Astyanax mexicanus: one gene and its partner. The protein of the gene in region 2 purifies or fractionates together with the protein of the main gene of each other region. This does not show direct contact. Links are inferred from orthologs where the notes say so. Each region holds a gene or a part of one and is shown on either strand. Other genes may lie near its edges.

The links. The genes of interacting proteins can lie anywhere in the genome.
Region 1: the proteins of rrm1 (region 2) and rrm2b purify together in Homo sapiens (affinity purification with western blotting; 3 studies listed by BioGRID and IntAct, counting the BioPlex papers as one, with this or other methods). This does not show direct contact. The link is inferred for Astyanax mexicanus from reciprocal best matches to the Homo sapiens genes RRM1 and RRM2B.

The regions. Positions count from the first base shown.
Region 1 is NC_064410.1:43,457,127-43,464,707, reverse strand, and holds the start of rrm2b (ribonucleoside-diphosphate reductase subunit M2 B), read right to left. Parts: upstream 3,034-7,581; 5' UTR 2,941-3,033; coding exon 2,893-2,940; intron 785-2,892; coding exon 635-784; intron 1-634.
Region 2 is NC_064424.1:10,477,057-10,484,732, reverse strand, and holds the start of rrm1 (ribonucleoside-diphosphate reductase large subunit), read right to left. Parts: upstream 3,044-7,676; 5' UTR 2,905-3,043; coding exon 2,886-2,904; intron 1,586-2,885; coding exon 1,497-1,585; intron 1,300-1,496; coding exon 1,122-1,299; intron 1,013-1,121; coding exon 912-1,012; intron 818-911; coding exon 758-817; intron 634-757; coding exon 594-633; intron 492-593; coding exon 329-491; intron 32-328; coding exon 1-31. Other genes in the region: slc6a7 (sodium-dependent proline transporter), read left to right, coding at 6,360-6,488. UniProt on the Homo sapiens protein: Provides the precursors necessary for DNA synthesis. Catalyzes the biosynthesis of deoxyribonucleotides from the corresponding ribonucleotides.

The sequences.
Region 1 (7,581 bases), on a different chromosome or scaffold from region 2:
GGAGGATCACTAACCAATGAGGGTCTAAAGTGGCTGAAGTAATTGGGGGGGAGGAGCCTACCCTTTTAAAGCAGGAGCAAAGATGGCTGCTTAAGGTAGGACCTATGTCAGACACTGCTGTGGGTAAGGCTTTTAGATAATTTAAACTGCTTACATTGGCACTACTTCAGTCAAGGTATTTTATCTACACATTTTACAACCAGTCAGCATTTACTCATCACTGGAAATCCAATGTGTGCTTCATTATCTACTTTAACTGTTTGTTTTGAGAGAAACTCCAATACATGTTTATGCAATGAGGCAAGAACTCCACCACATTGATGATAAACAGCTGTTGCACTGGTGTGGTCAGCAATGACTGACAGGTTTTAATGTAGTGTTTGAAATCTTTCACTAAAAATGGAATCATTATTTGTTGTTAACAGTACTAATAACTAGGAAAATAATAAAATAACACCCTATCATTTATAGGATAGCCCAGAAACAACTAAGACCAATCTGAGATCAGGACACTTGGTGTGAATGTTAGGTCATGTGTTATGTTATTGTTGCCTTAAATGTCAATATTTTCAGATGTATTTTATGTAATATCTACCTTTGGAACAAACCCAAATCAAATTAAGCACACACTTACCTCTTCTACTGTCCAGAAGGAGGCCTGGGCCTGTTTGTACATTTTCCAGATGTCTGGGTACTGGATGGGAAAGATGACAAATCTTCTTTTGTTTTCTCTGAGGAGCGGCTCATCTTCTGTGCTCTGGGGATCCACGTCTTTGTGGCCATTCTGACAAACAAAACCAATTAGTTCCACATAATTTTGAACGGGTCTAAATCTCTTTTTATAAAAGCGCTACATTATTTTAAGCCTTCGTTTTTACAAAAACTTGTTTTACTCTAAAACTATGGATCAGGTTCCCAGACAGGGATTAGGGCTAGACTTGGACTACATTGCATTTCTGAATGGAGATTTTTTTTACTAAAAGGAAAATATAGTCTATGACTACGTTCACATTACATGCCCTATTGCTCAAATCTGATTTTTTTACTTAGATCGGGTTTGGCCATTTTGACGGTTCACATTGACAAATGTAAGTGACCTGTATCTGTAAAACTTTTCCTAAAACGCCTCACATGCCCAAATTTAAACGTGTATAAACATCACCTTCTTCACCAATATTCATATTTGAGAGACAACTTGTAGTTTTATAAAGGGAAATAAATGCGTTAGCAGCTCATATGTGGAGCATCTTTTGCTCGAGTGGAGAGAAAACAGCTGGTCTGAAGTTCATGCTCAGGTTGAGGAGGTGAAAAAAAGAACAGGCGGTTTGATTTTGCTGTTTTTGCAGCTATAGCTGCACAGCTGCACCAAGAGGTGTGTGGGTATGAGAGAGAAGCACGTTGCGCATGCGTAAAAGCAAAAAGACACAACGAATTCTGAAATTTGACCATTTGCATTCATGTTGCATGTCCATGGATCGGACACGTATCCGATTTATGACCACATATGAAAGTCATGAATAATTTGATTTGAGTCACTTCAGCCTGGTAATGTGAATGTAGCCTATGATTGCCCTGCTAAAAAAAAAAAAAACAAGCTCAAGATCAGCTTTTGTGGGTAGCTGGTTTTGGATGGTCTTAACTGGTCCTTAATGGTCATCCAGACAAAAATGTACCTTATTATAATAAGCTAGTTTAGCTGATTATTTGATTTTGATCATGCTTGCCCTGCTAAAAGTTCAAGTTCAAGACCAGGCTTTATCTCTGTCTGAGAAACTGCCATTTAATATACAGCTCTGAAAAAAAATTTAGAGACCACTTCAGTTTCCGAATCAGATTCTCTGATTTTGCTATTTATAGGTAAAAGTTTGAGTAAAATGAACATTGTTGTTTTATTCTACAAACTATGGACAACATTTTTCCCAAATAACATATAAAATAAAAATATTGTCATTTAGAGCATTTATTTGCAGAGAATGAGAAATGACAGAAATGACAAAAAAAAGATGCAGAGCTTTCAGATCTCAAATAATGCAAAGAAAACAATTTTATATTTCTAAAGTTTTTAATATTTAGAAATCAATATTTGGTGGAATAACCCTGGTTTTTAATCAGAGTTTTCATGCATATTGGCATGTTCACATCCACCAGTCTTACACACTGCTTTTGGATAATTTATGCCACTCCTGGGGCAAAAATTCAAGCAGTTCAGTTTGGTTTGATTGCTTGTGATCATCCATCTTCCTCTTGATTATATTCCAGAGGTTTTTAATTTGGTAAAAATCAAAGAAACTCATCATTTTAAGTGGTCGCTTAGTTTTTTTTTCCAGAGCTGATAGTATATAAGGTTAGGTGTGGAGGCAGCAGTAGGGGGAGCCAGTCGGTGTGGTGAAGACAGGTTTCCTTGCCAGAGAATTTAAAGGGACGGTCTGTGGTCACTCAGTGGTAGTTTATATTAGTCTTTATTTAAAGGTTTAAGAGTCTTAAAACGAAACAAGGACAGCTAAAACACGTTAAAATTGTACAGTAAGTATTCCTGGTCCTGTTCAGTCGGACACGGCCTCGACATTATCTAAACAATCTATTTTTACCCCATTCGAGCTTAAATAACACAAACTAGTTATCTAAGAGCCTAACTACGTGTGCTGTCAGGCCGGATGACAGCATTCAGACAGACAGCTGTTCTCACACAGTAATAATGTGTGTTTTATATAACTGTAGATTTAGCTACAGGTACACTAATAAACCCCGGGGGTTGTGTAAGGTCCTCATTCTGCTCTTTATTATGAAAGGTCGCACAACTGCACACTGTGACCACACTAACACCACTAACCTAGCTAACCCTGGCTTAATCACACGGTCCGCAGGACGGCGAGCAGCTCCTGCTCTTATTACCTGATATGGCCCGTCGTCCGTCCCCACGTTCATGATGTTGGTGTCCATTACAGATGCGCCGCTATGACAGTGTTACTACCGTCCCTGTCATCTGAGGCGAGTGAATAAAAACACTGAGGCAAAACAACGGCGAGAGGCTTCAGCACAGCGCCCCCTCCGGCCACACAGAGAACCGCACAGGAGGACTTCAACCAGAGAACCACTGAGCTAACAGAAACACAACCCTAACAGACCCTGTGCTGAATAAATCATACCTTACATTTAATAACTGTTCCTTTATTTTAATACATTCCTCAAGGGAATAATTTGTTCCCTCAAAATAATAAAATATTCCCAAACTATAAACACTTATACCTTAATTTAACAGTTTGTCCACTCAGTTTAATAATTATCACACTTTTTCTTTAATTTAATAAAACAAATTCCATATCAGGGTTCTACTTCTTCTACCTGTTTTTAGCAAAAGAAAAATTCACACGGTTCTCATTTCCCATTATAAATCTACTAGAGACAGATTATATCTGTCAAGTATCATTTATTTTACTTTAACCCTGGATATATGGAGATATCTGGAGTGCATTATTAGTATCATGGCATTCTGCAGCATTGACCTCTATTACAAGTCTGATTAAATTCTTGTAATTTTTAATATCTAAGGAAGGGGTGTGACATAAATCGTATGCAATAATTAAATAAAATTTTCATTTTGATGCAGTAGTGTATTCTTGAAAAAAAAAAATCATTAATTTATATCGGCAAGAGTACAATTATCACGAAAATACCATGAAATATCGTGATATTATTTTAGGGCCATATCACCCACCTCTACTAATACCTTAATTTAACAGTTTGTCCCCTCAGTTTAATAAGTATCACACTTTAATTTAATAAAACAAATGCCATATCAGGGTACTAGCATAATTACATATATTTAGCCCAACCCATTCAATTACAATGTGTTGTAGCCATGCTTTTTGAGCAAGGTATACACTACAATAAAATATAGTGTGTGTTAAAGACAGCGATAACGGCCTAATTAACAAACAATCTGTTTTAAGAGATAAAAAGTGTAACATTTTATTGCTTATGCCCTGTTTTGCAAGTGTCCTTTTTGAAGAGTTAAATGATTACTGAATGAGCATGTGACAGAGCTGTGGTTCATATTCTTGCTTTTGGCCTTTGTCCTTAATGAGGCTGACTGAAAGAAACAACTATAATTGATTGAGGAAGGATCTTATCAGCTCCTGAAATCATCCAAAGTACAACTTCAATCTACTGCGCACATTATTGATTTGTGAATGAAAAACAGCCTACACCTCATCCTGTTATGAGTGGAATTATAAAAACCAAAGGGCCAGACGTTTGCAGAAATGAGAGTGCAGAGTTCTGATTCATGTTTTATGGATAAATTAATCAAACTGAGAAGATAGATGGACATATCAAAAAATAAACACAAAACTGAAGGTTTTTAACATAAACCACTGTCAATTAATAAAGATCTTCAGCCACTGGATAAAGACACTAAGTCCGGTAATACAGCACATATACTCAATGTCTGGAAAGTGCTTTTCACTCAAAGCTTCAAAGACTAATTTTTATTCTTCGTGCCTGACTGTAGCTACAGTTAAACCTGTTTTAATATTTACATTATCAATCAAACAATGTATGAACATGAGACACATTTACTTTGAGTTTTGTCTACATAAAAATAGAAAAGACCAGTACTTGTTCTCTGATTTTAGACAGTCTTGTCTGTCTAGGCCGATATGGGGCTCTGTCTGTGCGCAGCAGTTAAATCCATCATATAGGAAAATAGGGCAGTGTGTAGCAACAGTATTTAAAACATGTTGCAGGTAGTACAAGGAGTGCTGCCTCGATATTAGCAGCCGGAGCCCAAGAGGGGGCAGATGGTGTTCTCGCCCCCATCACTCACAATATAATGCTATGTTGGCTGATGTATCAAACCTGGAATGGGACTTTTCTTTGGGTGCAATGGCTGTACAAAATTAATTACAGGCCTAGCTAGAAAGGTACACCATAAAAATGTATACCTTCTCTGTCCCAAAGTGTAGGGCGCACAAGATGTTGCTGTAGAGTTGATTTATTAAGTTTATACTATCTGAAACACTATAACAAATGAAAGAAACTGAGTATTATGAGTCAAAGAAGTGTATTAAGTTAATATATTTCATTACAACACAATATTACAGTCAAAAACAGGCTATGGTCCATTAGTGCCTCAGACAAAAATATTTTACATTACATCGCTAAAGGGTGTGATTTCATTAAATGGAGGGGTGTTATAAATTTTTAAATCAAAAGACATTTAACAAAGCCTTTTGGAAGGTAAACAGCACAAGAAGATATGATCAAATGTTTCATTGTTGTACTACATTACAAAATACACCTCATCTGGCACCTTTTTTTTAACTCCTCTGCTGGTCCCAAAGTATTGTTTCTTCAGGGAAAATGATACAAGCATAGCCTGGGCTCATATTATATACATATCAGACTATATTGTGTTAGATGTTTTTCACTCCATAATCATTACATTTTAGTTATGGAGACAAAAGCCATTTAGGTAAGTTGGTTTTACTTACAATGAAAAATATGATCAAATCTTTAAAACAGCTATTTATTGTGAGAAGCCTGAGAGGAGCTGTCAGAGATTAATAGCATGAATCTTGCAGCGCTTATGGTGACTGTTACTGGTAGTTTGAGCACACTGCCTCAGGCACTTGCACATTTCGCTTGAAGTCACCTTCTTTCCCTACCCAAATGCTATATAAAGCCACTTTCCCCAAGTCCCAGTTCTAAAAGGTTTCTTTAATATCAGGCATATGTCCTTGGTACTTGTACAGTATACTGGTGTGACCCTATAGTTCTCATTCTATAAGCCTTTTTAGGCCACAAAGTCAAACACAGTACATAAAGCCAAGGGACAGTACATATTAATACAGGGAAATACTGTCACAATCCATGTACTGAAGACACAACCAAAGGTGCACTCCACAGTTCTAAAAACCCAGGGTCGACTAGGATGGAGAAGCTTTGATATAACAAATCAATATCAAAATTTCCACTCTGTCAATCTACACAAAGGGTTGCAACACGTCTGATACTAGAATCTAAACTCATTAAAATCACATCAGATTTTAATATAGACAAGTGCATAATGGAGCAATAGACAACTCATTTACAAGACTGTCAGCAGGTAATCAATATAGAATTAAATTAATTGAACACTTATGTAAACGATTCTTGATTAAGAAACCCAATGACTGGATTCCATCTCCACAGTCGTCCATTTTGTTGCATATGTTGTTAATAAACATGGGGCTCCTGGACTCATTCCTATGGTGGGCAAGGAAAACGAGCATTTCAATCAGTAAATTGTGAAAAAATTAGATAAGGATAATTTATTGTGTGATCCCAATGCCACTGGTCTTGTTCCTTTACTAGTGGCTACACATTGTTGTCCCCACCCATAGCTGCTGGAATGTTCACTATGCAGGCCATTTAAATTCTGACCACTTGACTTGAAATGCCCAAGTTAGGGGGTCAGCTTCAGATTTTATCCAATTACAAGCAATACTGGACCAAGGAAAAATTCCTCATTGTGTTGTCAAGAGAGATTCCAGCCTCCTGCATCTCAAACCTGAAAGACAGAAAGTACATAGATAAATGTGACTTTTAATAACTACTTAACTTTAATTTTTGTTTAAGTTTTGGTTAAAAAAATAGTTATAGTGTGTTTAATTTACATAATGACCAGATGTGTCCAGACATCATAATTTGTTATACATTTAATGTATTATGTACTAAAACAAGTAAACAACAAGCCTGAAAAGAGAGCAGAAAAAGCACAGTATCCATTATGTTTGTAATTACCAGTCGTCTGTAGAAATAGTGTAATACACAGGTGGCTTGTCTGAGTTATTGATGGCTGCGGACTCCTCTTGACCACTGGCCCCCATATTGTTGAAGATCAGCCAGTCTCCCACAGTGAGCTCAGGGAGAAGGCAGTGCTCCACCACCTGGTCCAATGCGTCACAAGAGGGACCCCACAAGCTGCTGGGGAACATCGGCTCATCTGCTGCAAGTGACATCTGAGGGAAAAAAACAAAACAAAAAAAAACACATACTCAAACGACCAGATCTGGTAGTAAAACCAATTTTGCATGTATATGGTTCTGTGTGTTGAGTGTCCATACCTTGTGTACCTTGGGGGATGGAATGGTGTTTCCCAACAGCTTTCCCATAAAAGATCCATAGACACCATCATTTAAATAGTACAAAAATTCTGGCTCATCGCTTGGAGTCAAATCTGCAGATGATTTCACAGAAATATAAAAAACTCAAAAATAAAAAATACTACAGACTATATAATAGTGGCATTTAATATCCACTGGTGTGTAGTGACAGAATGTACGCACCTTTAGTCTCAACATGAAGACTGCCTGCTGCCACTTTCTTTCCAATGACATTTACAACCAAGGTGAAAGAGGAAGACACATAAAAAGTTCCTGGCTCAGCAATGACGCGCACTCCAGACATAACAGGGAAATAGGCCTCCAGCAAAGGCCTAATAGCAGCATGAATCTGATCACAAAAAACAATTATTAAATGTAATTATTATTAAAATGGTGAAAATCAACAGTTTCAAATTCTACTAAAATTAATAAATAA
Region 2 (7,676 bases):
GCTGTCGTCACGCATAGCAAGAAGGAAACAGCTGGAAAAAGGAAGGAAAAAAAAATCATGATAATTATACCTGAATATATTATACAAAAACCTCATTACATGTAAGGATTATATAAGTCTCCTGCACCCAAGTGCTACAGAAAGAGGTCAAACAGGCTTAACGACAAACAGTCTAAACCTTTAGGAACACAACTTTCAAAACTTGTTTTACTTTACAGTTTATAGCTTTGTTTATTTTACTGAACTGCCCTCTTATGTCCAAACTCTGAAATGCAGGCATATTTCAACATGTTTCATCAACAGCAATATGTCTCCCTCTGGTGTATACCTGGAGAGCTGAGGCCGGTTAGTGCCTGCATTGAAGAGTGTAGGAGAAGCGTGGGTGAACCATTTCTCAGACAGCAGGTTGTAGGTCTCAATAGCAGCAGCAATATCTTCCTTATGGATCCCAACTGCTACCCTCATCAGCATGTGCTGTGGCCTTTCTGCAACTAAAACCAGATGCAAAAAGACAGTGAGCAATAAACATTTGACATTGCTCATATTTAGAGAAGTCTTCAGGAATCAGTAAAACATTTATTCAAATAACTTACCCTTTCCATCAATCTTGAGCAAATACGACCGCTCCAGAGTCTAAAGAAAGAACACACATTCAGTTGAGGTGAGTAATTTGTAGAATAACTATCAAATTTGTTTTTAATAATTAGGCAGAGCACATCAAATATTCATTAGAAGTTATTTTCAAGACTCAATTTACCTTGAAACCAAAGAAGTTGTAAGAGAAGTCCCTGTCGAAGATGATGGCTGAATTGAGGCGCTGTGGAAAGAACCAAGGAAAACTAGGTATTAGGGGAAAAAAAAAAAACCTTTACAGATCAAAAGAAAAACAATAAATGCTTTATCATTCTTACATCCTTATTAGCCAAGATAATGTCAAGGGTGTCCTTGGAGATCATTGGGGAGTGTCGTCCATTAAGAGGATTAACGTAGTTGTAAAGGTCCTCCATAACCTCTGCAAAAAGCAAAAACACAAAATATATATATTTTTTTTCCGCAAGTAATGTATAACAAACCTCTGGAACTCTGCAGGAAATATACACCAAGCCGGTCAGATTACTTACCACTAAATACCTTCTTTGTCTCCTTGTGCAGGTTAGACACTGCAATACGGGCTGCCAAGATGGCATAGTCAGGATGTTTAGTGGTGAGGGTAGCAGCGGTCTCTGCAGCCAAGGTGTCCAGCTCTACAGTGGTCACCCCACTGTACAAGCCCTGGATCACCTTCATTGTTATCTGAGTCTGGAAACACAACAGCAGAAAGGCATATTGTTAAAACACATTGTAAACATGTTTTAATAATAATAATAATAAAAAAGAAATTCTATTAAACAGATCAGACAGTCTAAAGCTGTGAACATATTGCAATGTCAGTATGCAGGTTTTGAGGTTGTAGAACGATACAAAAATCTCACAAAGAATAAATAGCCTATACATACAGGATCAACAAAGTCAGAGTTGAGTCCATAGCAGAGCTTCTGGATACGTGAGGTAATTTTGTCAAACATAACACGCTCCTGGCGTCCATCTGCAAATAGAAAATAGGCATTTTTAGTAATACAGAACCTTAGAAAAGTTGTGTTTTGTATCAATAGTCAATATTGACCAAGCTAGCAATCTAAGATAAGAGATAAGATAAGAAAATCCTTTATTAGTCACACAGTGGGCAAATTCACAGTACTACAACAGAAAAGTGATAGCAAGGCACTCAGTATAAAATAAATGTATTATTTTAAAAAATAAAAATATTATATAAAATAAACAGTACCATATAAACAATAAAAAGTCAAGAACTCTTAAGATTGTATTTACAAATTCTGTTACACTGAACAAATTTAATTTTCTGTATGTGTGTAGCGTTTAGGTGTGTGTCTAGCTTGCTTCGAACCAAACTAGGTCAAACATGGAGACCTTATTGTTCTAGTTTAGTATTCACTTGTTTTGCAGCAAACATGATTATAATTACAAGATTGCAAAATGTGTTAAGGGTGTGTACCGCAATCAGATTTTAAAGAAGTTTGTTTTTATATGTTTTTTTTCCTTTATGCTGAGAACTTGTCAAAGTTTTTCCCAAGCTCAGTACCTTACCACCAAAGCTTTAAATACAAGGTATTTAAGTTAATTTAGCATTTAAAGGCGCAAAGGTTAGAAAATAAGACATTATCTTGTGCTAAATTAACTTGAAGTGAGAGGGATTAGCCAGTTAACTAGCTAACGAACTCGGCCAACAGGCTATTTGGCGCCAACCACACTGACAACAAAGGAGGAGTACTGCAGCATACAGGAACAATGGTGATAATATAGCGAAGTTAGCTATATAACTGTCATCTAAATGCATGTTTTATTTAGCATAAATAATATTTAACGGATTTATTAGCTGTTCATGTGAATAGTGGATAAACCGGAGACTTTATTCTGAATATTTGCTGGAGCTAACTAACCTAGGTTAGCTATCTAGCTTTCTTTACTGGGAACTTCACACAACTATAATTAACCTAACTATATTTATCATTTAAACCACTTGTCTGGATTTAACAACAGTAAACACAGGTTTAAAACAGAGCTAATAGAGTAAATATATCAGAAAGCAAAGCTAGGACTACAGTAAAGCTACAAACATATATAGCTAGCTAACTATATAGAAGTTCACTGCCAAAATAACGTTAGCTAGCTCACTTATATTAACTGTTATAAAACATACATTACTAGCTATATAAAATGTCAGTTAGTTGGCTATTTAAAGCATAAAGATTAATATAGGGCTATTTAACACAGCTAACCTAACCAGATTAGATAAGAGGCAAAATAAGAGGCAAAAACACACTCACCTCGCTTGAGGACGTACATGTTTACTTATATTGTAAGGAAAAGTGCAAAACTGGTACAAAAATGACTATTATAACAGAGGTACTGTGTATCTAACTACTAGCTTGGGCCTGCCGTCCAGCACTGACCAGCTGATGCAAGAAATAAAGCGCGAATGTCTTCAAACCGTGACAGAAAACCTCCATGCTTAACTGCGAGGACCAATCAGAGGAGGGCTGGGGGCGGGACATCCTGATCTGCAGCCACTGGCAGCTTTACTGGATTAGATAAATTCTAAAAACAGTGAAGGTGACCTACTATTTATCATTCTTCCAGTCTTTGGAATATTTATGTTGTAGTGTGTTATTTATTGTGAGATAATATATTTTATGTTTGTTGAGAAAGATTTAGGCTTGTGGACATTAAAGAGTCCACATGGCTACTTTTGCTTTGTAATGCATATTGTAAACATGTGGATGGTGCTATAAAAACAGCAGATGTACGTATAAGTAGGTATTAGTCTCTTGCAGAAAAAAGTTTAACACAAACAGACAAATACACTTGCTTCAAAAAAATAAAAATAAACAAAAGAAGGAGAGGGCGATAAAAATCGCTTCAATATAGCTAACTTGTGTACCCATGTGAGTTATTATTGGGAACGATTTTTATACGCTAATGCAATATATACTGTAATGTGAGACTTAACTATTTTTAAACATACTTGATAATAAGAATTAATAAGAAATTACATTTTTGAAATTTGCCGTTTTGTTTATTTGTTTATAGTAATTTATTAGTAATTAGTATTGATTAGTAATCATACTGTGCATTGTTTTTATATAAACAATTTTTAAATACTATTTTATAATAAAAATTAAAAAAAAAAAAATACTAAAATAAAAGAGACCGGACTTCTTTCTGTTTTCTGCGTGGCGGAAGCAGATGGTATTTTATGTGGCGGGAAATTTGAAAACCGGCAAAACTCGATGTGAGTGAGATTGGCGGGTGTGTGTGTGTGTTTGTGTGTGTGTGTGTGTGTGTCAGGAGCTGGAGTGGGGTAGGGTATACAAACTGACACAACCATTGTTCCTTCTTCATATTTTACAAAGCAACACCACAACTAATACTAAGTCCCTCAGTGCAAAATAAAAAGAAAAATCCTTGAGATTTTTATATTGATGTTTATATACATCATATAACATATATTTTATTATTTTGACATTAACTGTCAGTACATTTCTCATCATTTCTGTTCTCTTATGTGTTTGAACCTAAATAACGAACCTAATATTTTTATCTGGACATGTAATATGTTACATAATAATACACATGTAATATATTTGTATCCTGCACTTAATTTGTTGTTGCAGCTGTTTTATCTGGTAACATAACAGTTTAAATATCTTTAAAATGTTTTTTTACTATTCTGTTAAATACTAGAATTTAAAAAGAAAAAAGCAAATGACAGGCCCAGAATAGCCAGATGTATCAGATATATTGTTTAAATGTATATTATTATTGTATATAAGTATTATATACAATAATAGTGTGTGTTTTATCATCTGACTATATTATATTAGGAATGCTAAAATACTGCACACTGACTCAGATATGACTGGTTTCCTACCTGGTAACAGCATTTCTGAATGTTTCTGAACACTTCTTCCTCTTTTTTACACCTCTTCCTTCTTTGTGTTTTGGAGAAACTGATGCCAAGAAGAGGAGGAGTTCATGTGAATATTTTAGCCACTCCCACATGACCATCTTCTGACAGGAGAAGGAGTTTCTCTGAACAACAAAACCACTCCCACAGGGTCACACACACACACTCACACACAAACACACACACAAACACACACACACTTCCTTCTTCGCAGAAGGAGGAGCAGTCTTTTTGAACAACAGAACCACCCCCACACACACACACACTTCCCACAGAGAAGGAGGAACCTGTCTGAGCATCACCTAGAAACAACAAAACACACAGTCATAAAGTACAGTGTGAACCTTTATGCAATTACTAACTGTCACTACAGAACATAATTACACAACATACAAAACTAATAAAACACACTTAAAGATTAATATGACTTAGAGAAATTATATATTTAAAATGGCAACATTGGCACTTATGGCCTTTAGCAGAAAATATGTGAATAGACTAGAGTTCAAGTAATTGTAGACAAACAAGTACAAGTGTACTGCACTAATACATCAAACAAAACATTCACATAGCCAGCAACTAAACACACAAACACTGCATTAAAGTAAAAAAAAAAAAACAAGAAAAAAACAAGATGCATCAGAATGTACAATACACTACAGTGTTTAATGTGAGATATCTAATCTTTTGTGTTTTTTTTTAGAATTAGGTGTTAACTCATGGTCTATACAGTCACTGGCCTATACTTCATACTAGCAAAGTTGCAGTTTCCTGCGTGGCTTCCTGTGGAAACGAGAGCAAAATGCTGTGCAACACATATCAGTCAAACAGAAGAAAAGCGGCATATAGCAGCTTTTAAGAGAGATCTGTGTTTTTTATACCAGGAAAAAGGCTTCCTTTATTTCTTTATTTAATTCTTTGGTTATTTACACAGCATATATAAACTTGTCTTTTTGTTATTTGAAGTTTATTTAAAGACTGTAATTGGCAGACAGACAGATAAGCAGGCAGACATATGGATATACAGGCAGAAAACCAACAGATAAATGACAATTAATGACAAATTAATAGACAGGCAGATAGACTGACAACAGGTAGACAGAAAGACATGTAGACAAACTAACAAATAGACAGGAAGATGTATATAAATGGATATACAGGCAGATGGAAAACTGACAAATAAATTAAGACAAATTAATAGACAGGCAAGAGACACATAGGCAGACAGATTGACTGAAAAGACTGAAATGTAGACAGACAGATATGTAGGAAGATTAACAGATAGATAGGCAGACAAGCAGATGGACAAACTAACAAATAGACAGACAGGAAGATGGATATAGATCCAGGCAGATAGAAAACCGAGAGATAAATTAAGACAAATTAAGCGACAGACAGGTAGACTGGCAGGGAGACATATAGACAGGAAAATTAGATAGATAGATAGATAGATAGATAGATAGATAGATAGATAGATAGATAGATAGATAGATAGATAGATAGATAGATAGATAGATAGATAGATAGGAAGAAGGAATGCTGTATAGGAGGAGTGGGTGTGCTCAGGTGTATAATGGCCTGTTTATAGGGGTGAGGAGAGAGAGGTTCCTCCTCTCACCTCTCTCTCTCTCTCTCTCTCTCTCTCTTTTTGTCTCCTCCCCTCCCCAGGATCAAACATGGCGAGCTGAACTGTACACCTGCGCTGCTTCTGCTGCTGCTGCCGGGCTGCTGTGAGTTTGTGGGGCGGAATGTAACTTTTCTCGCGGTGGTTCATCACTGTTAGTCCGGCGGGTCCTGAACGGGCGCGTGTTTGTGAAGCTGCTCCGCCGCCTCGATGAAGCCTTTACCGGAGCCATGTAACAGCGAGCATCAGAAGAAAGGCTCGAGCGCCGCTGCCCCTGGGGAGATGCCGAGCGCGGAGGAGGCGAAAGCTCCACCTGGAAACACGGAGCTCCGCACGGAGGTGAGCCGGCCAGAGACCTGCCCTTACCGGGGCCCGGGGTTTCAGCCGTTTCTGGTTATTAAACTTTATTACAGTAAAGAAAGTGTTAAACCTGGACAGCTGTAGTCTGGCGGTTTTGAGTGGGCTTGTTTGGTTTGGTTTGGTTTTTACTGACTGGGTGAGGAGGTAACTCAACCTGTTTGACCTCATTCCTGGAAAAGTACAACAAAAAATAGGAAAATGTGTATCAACAGAGACCACTGTTTTTATTCCTTTAATACTGCTTCAAAAAGTAGTTTTTAGCACAACTGGCTTTACTTTAAGTAAGTACCACCACTAACGTTACAGTGAAAGTGAATGAGGAATTTAGCGTTCAACTAAAAAACAACAACAACAACAAACAGTCAGGCTATATTTTGTGCTGTTTTTATTAACTATAACTGTTTGTAAACGTTTATTAAATGCTCCCAGTCAGAATTAAGTTTCAATTAAGTTTTTGATTTCACGAGGCAGTGAATTATTTCCTAAATAAATAACAATATGTTATGAGGTAAATGAAAATATAAGAAATGAAACAGACAAATAACAACACTCAAAAGTGTAAATAATAATAATAATAATAATAATAATAATAATAATAATAATAATGATTATTATTATCATAAATTAAAATAGTAATATGTGTGGTGGCTACACAGTATAGTTGATGGTCAGAAATGGTCTAGACATGGTCAGTTTACAGAGTGGTCAAAAAGTACCAGAAGTGGTCAAAATAAAATTTGTGCGCTGACCTTTATCAGGAATTTTAACTTAATTAAATATAAACATATGTTTTATTTTTATATTAGTACATATTAGGCCTACCACAACACCCTACAATATATTTGCACAACCTCAATTATTTTATTTAGAGAGGAATCACATTATATTATGTTTTTCTTAGCGAAAACAATTAATGTGAATGGCTGGAATGTTCCTTTAAAAAAAGAGTGGTTTAATTATATTCATCCATTAAAATTAATTAATTAATTAGACTTAAAAGTTCATATAATTGTAATTTTATGCAATGAAATTATTATGTCATTATATTAGTGGCATTAAATGGTCTTAAAATGACAATAATATTGTTTAGCACAATTATTTATGGGGCAATATTTAGTTTTTGCCTAGTTTAAATTTGGCTTCTCAAGGCAGTAAATTATTTACTAA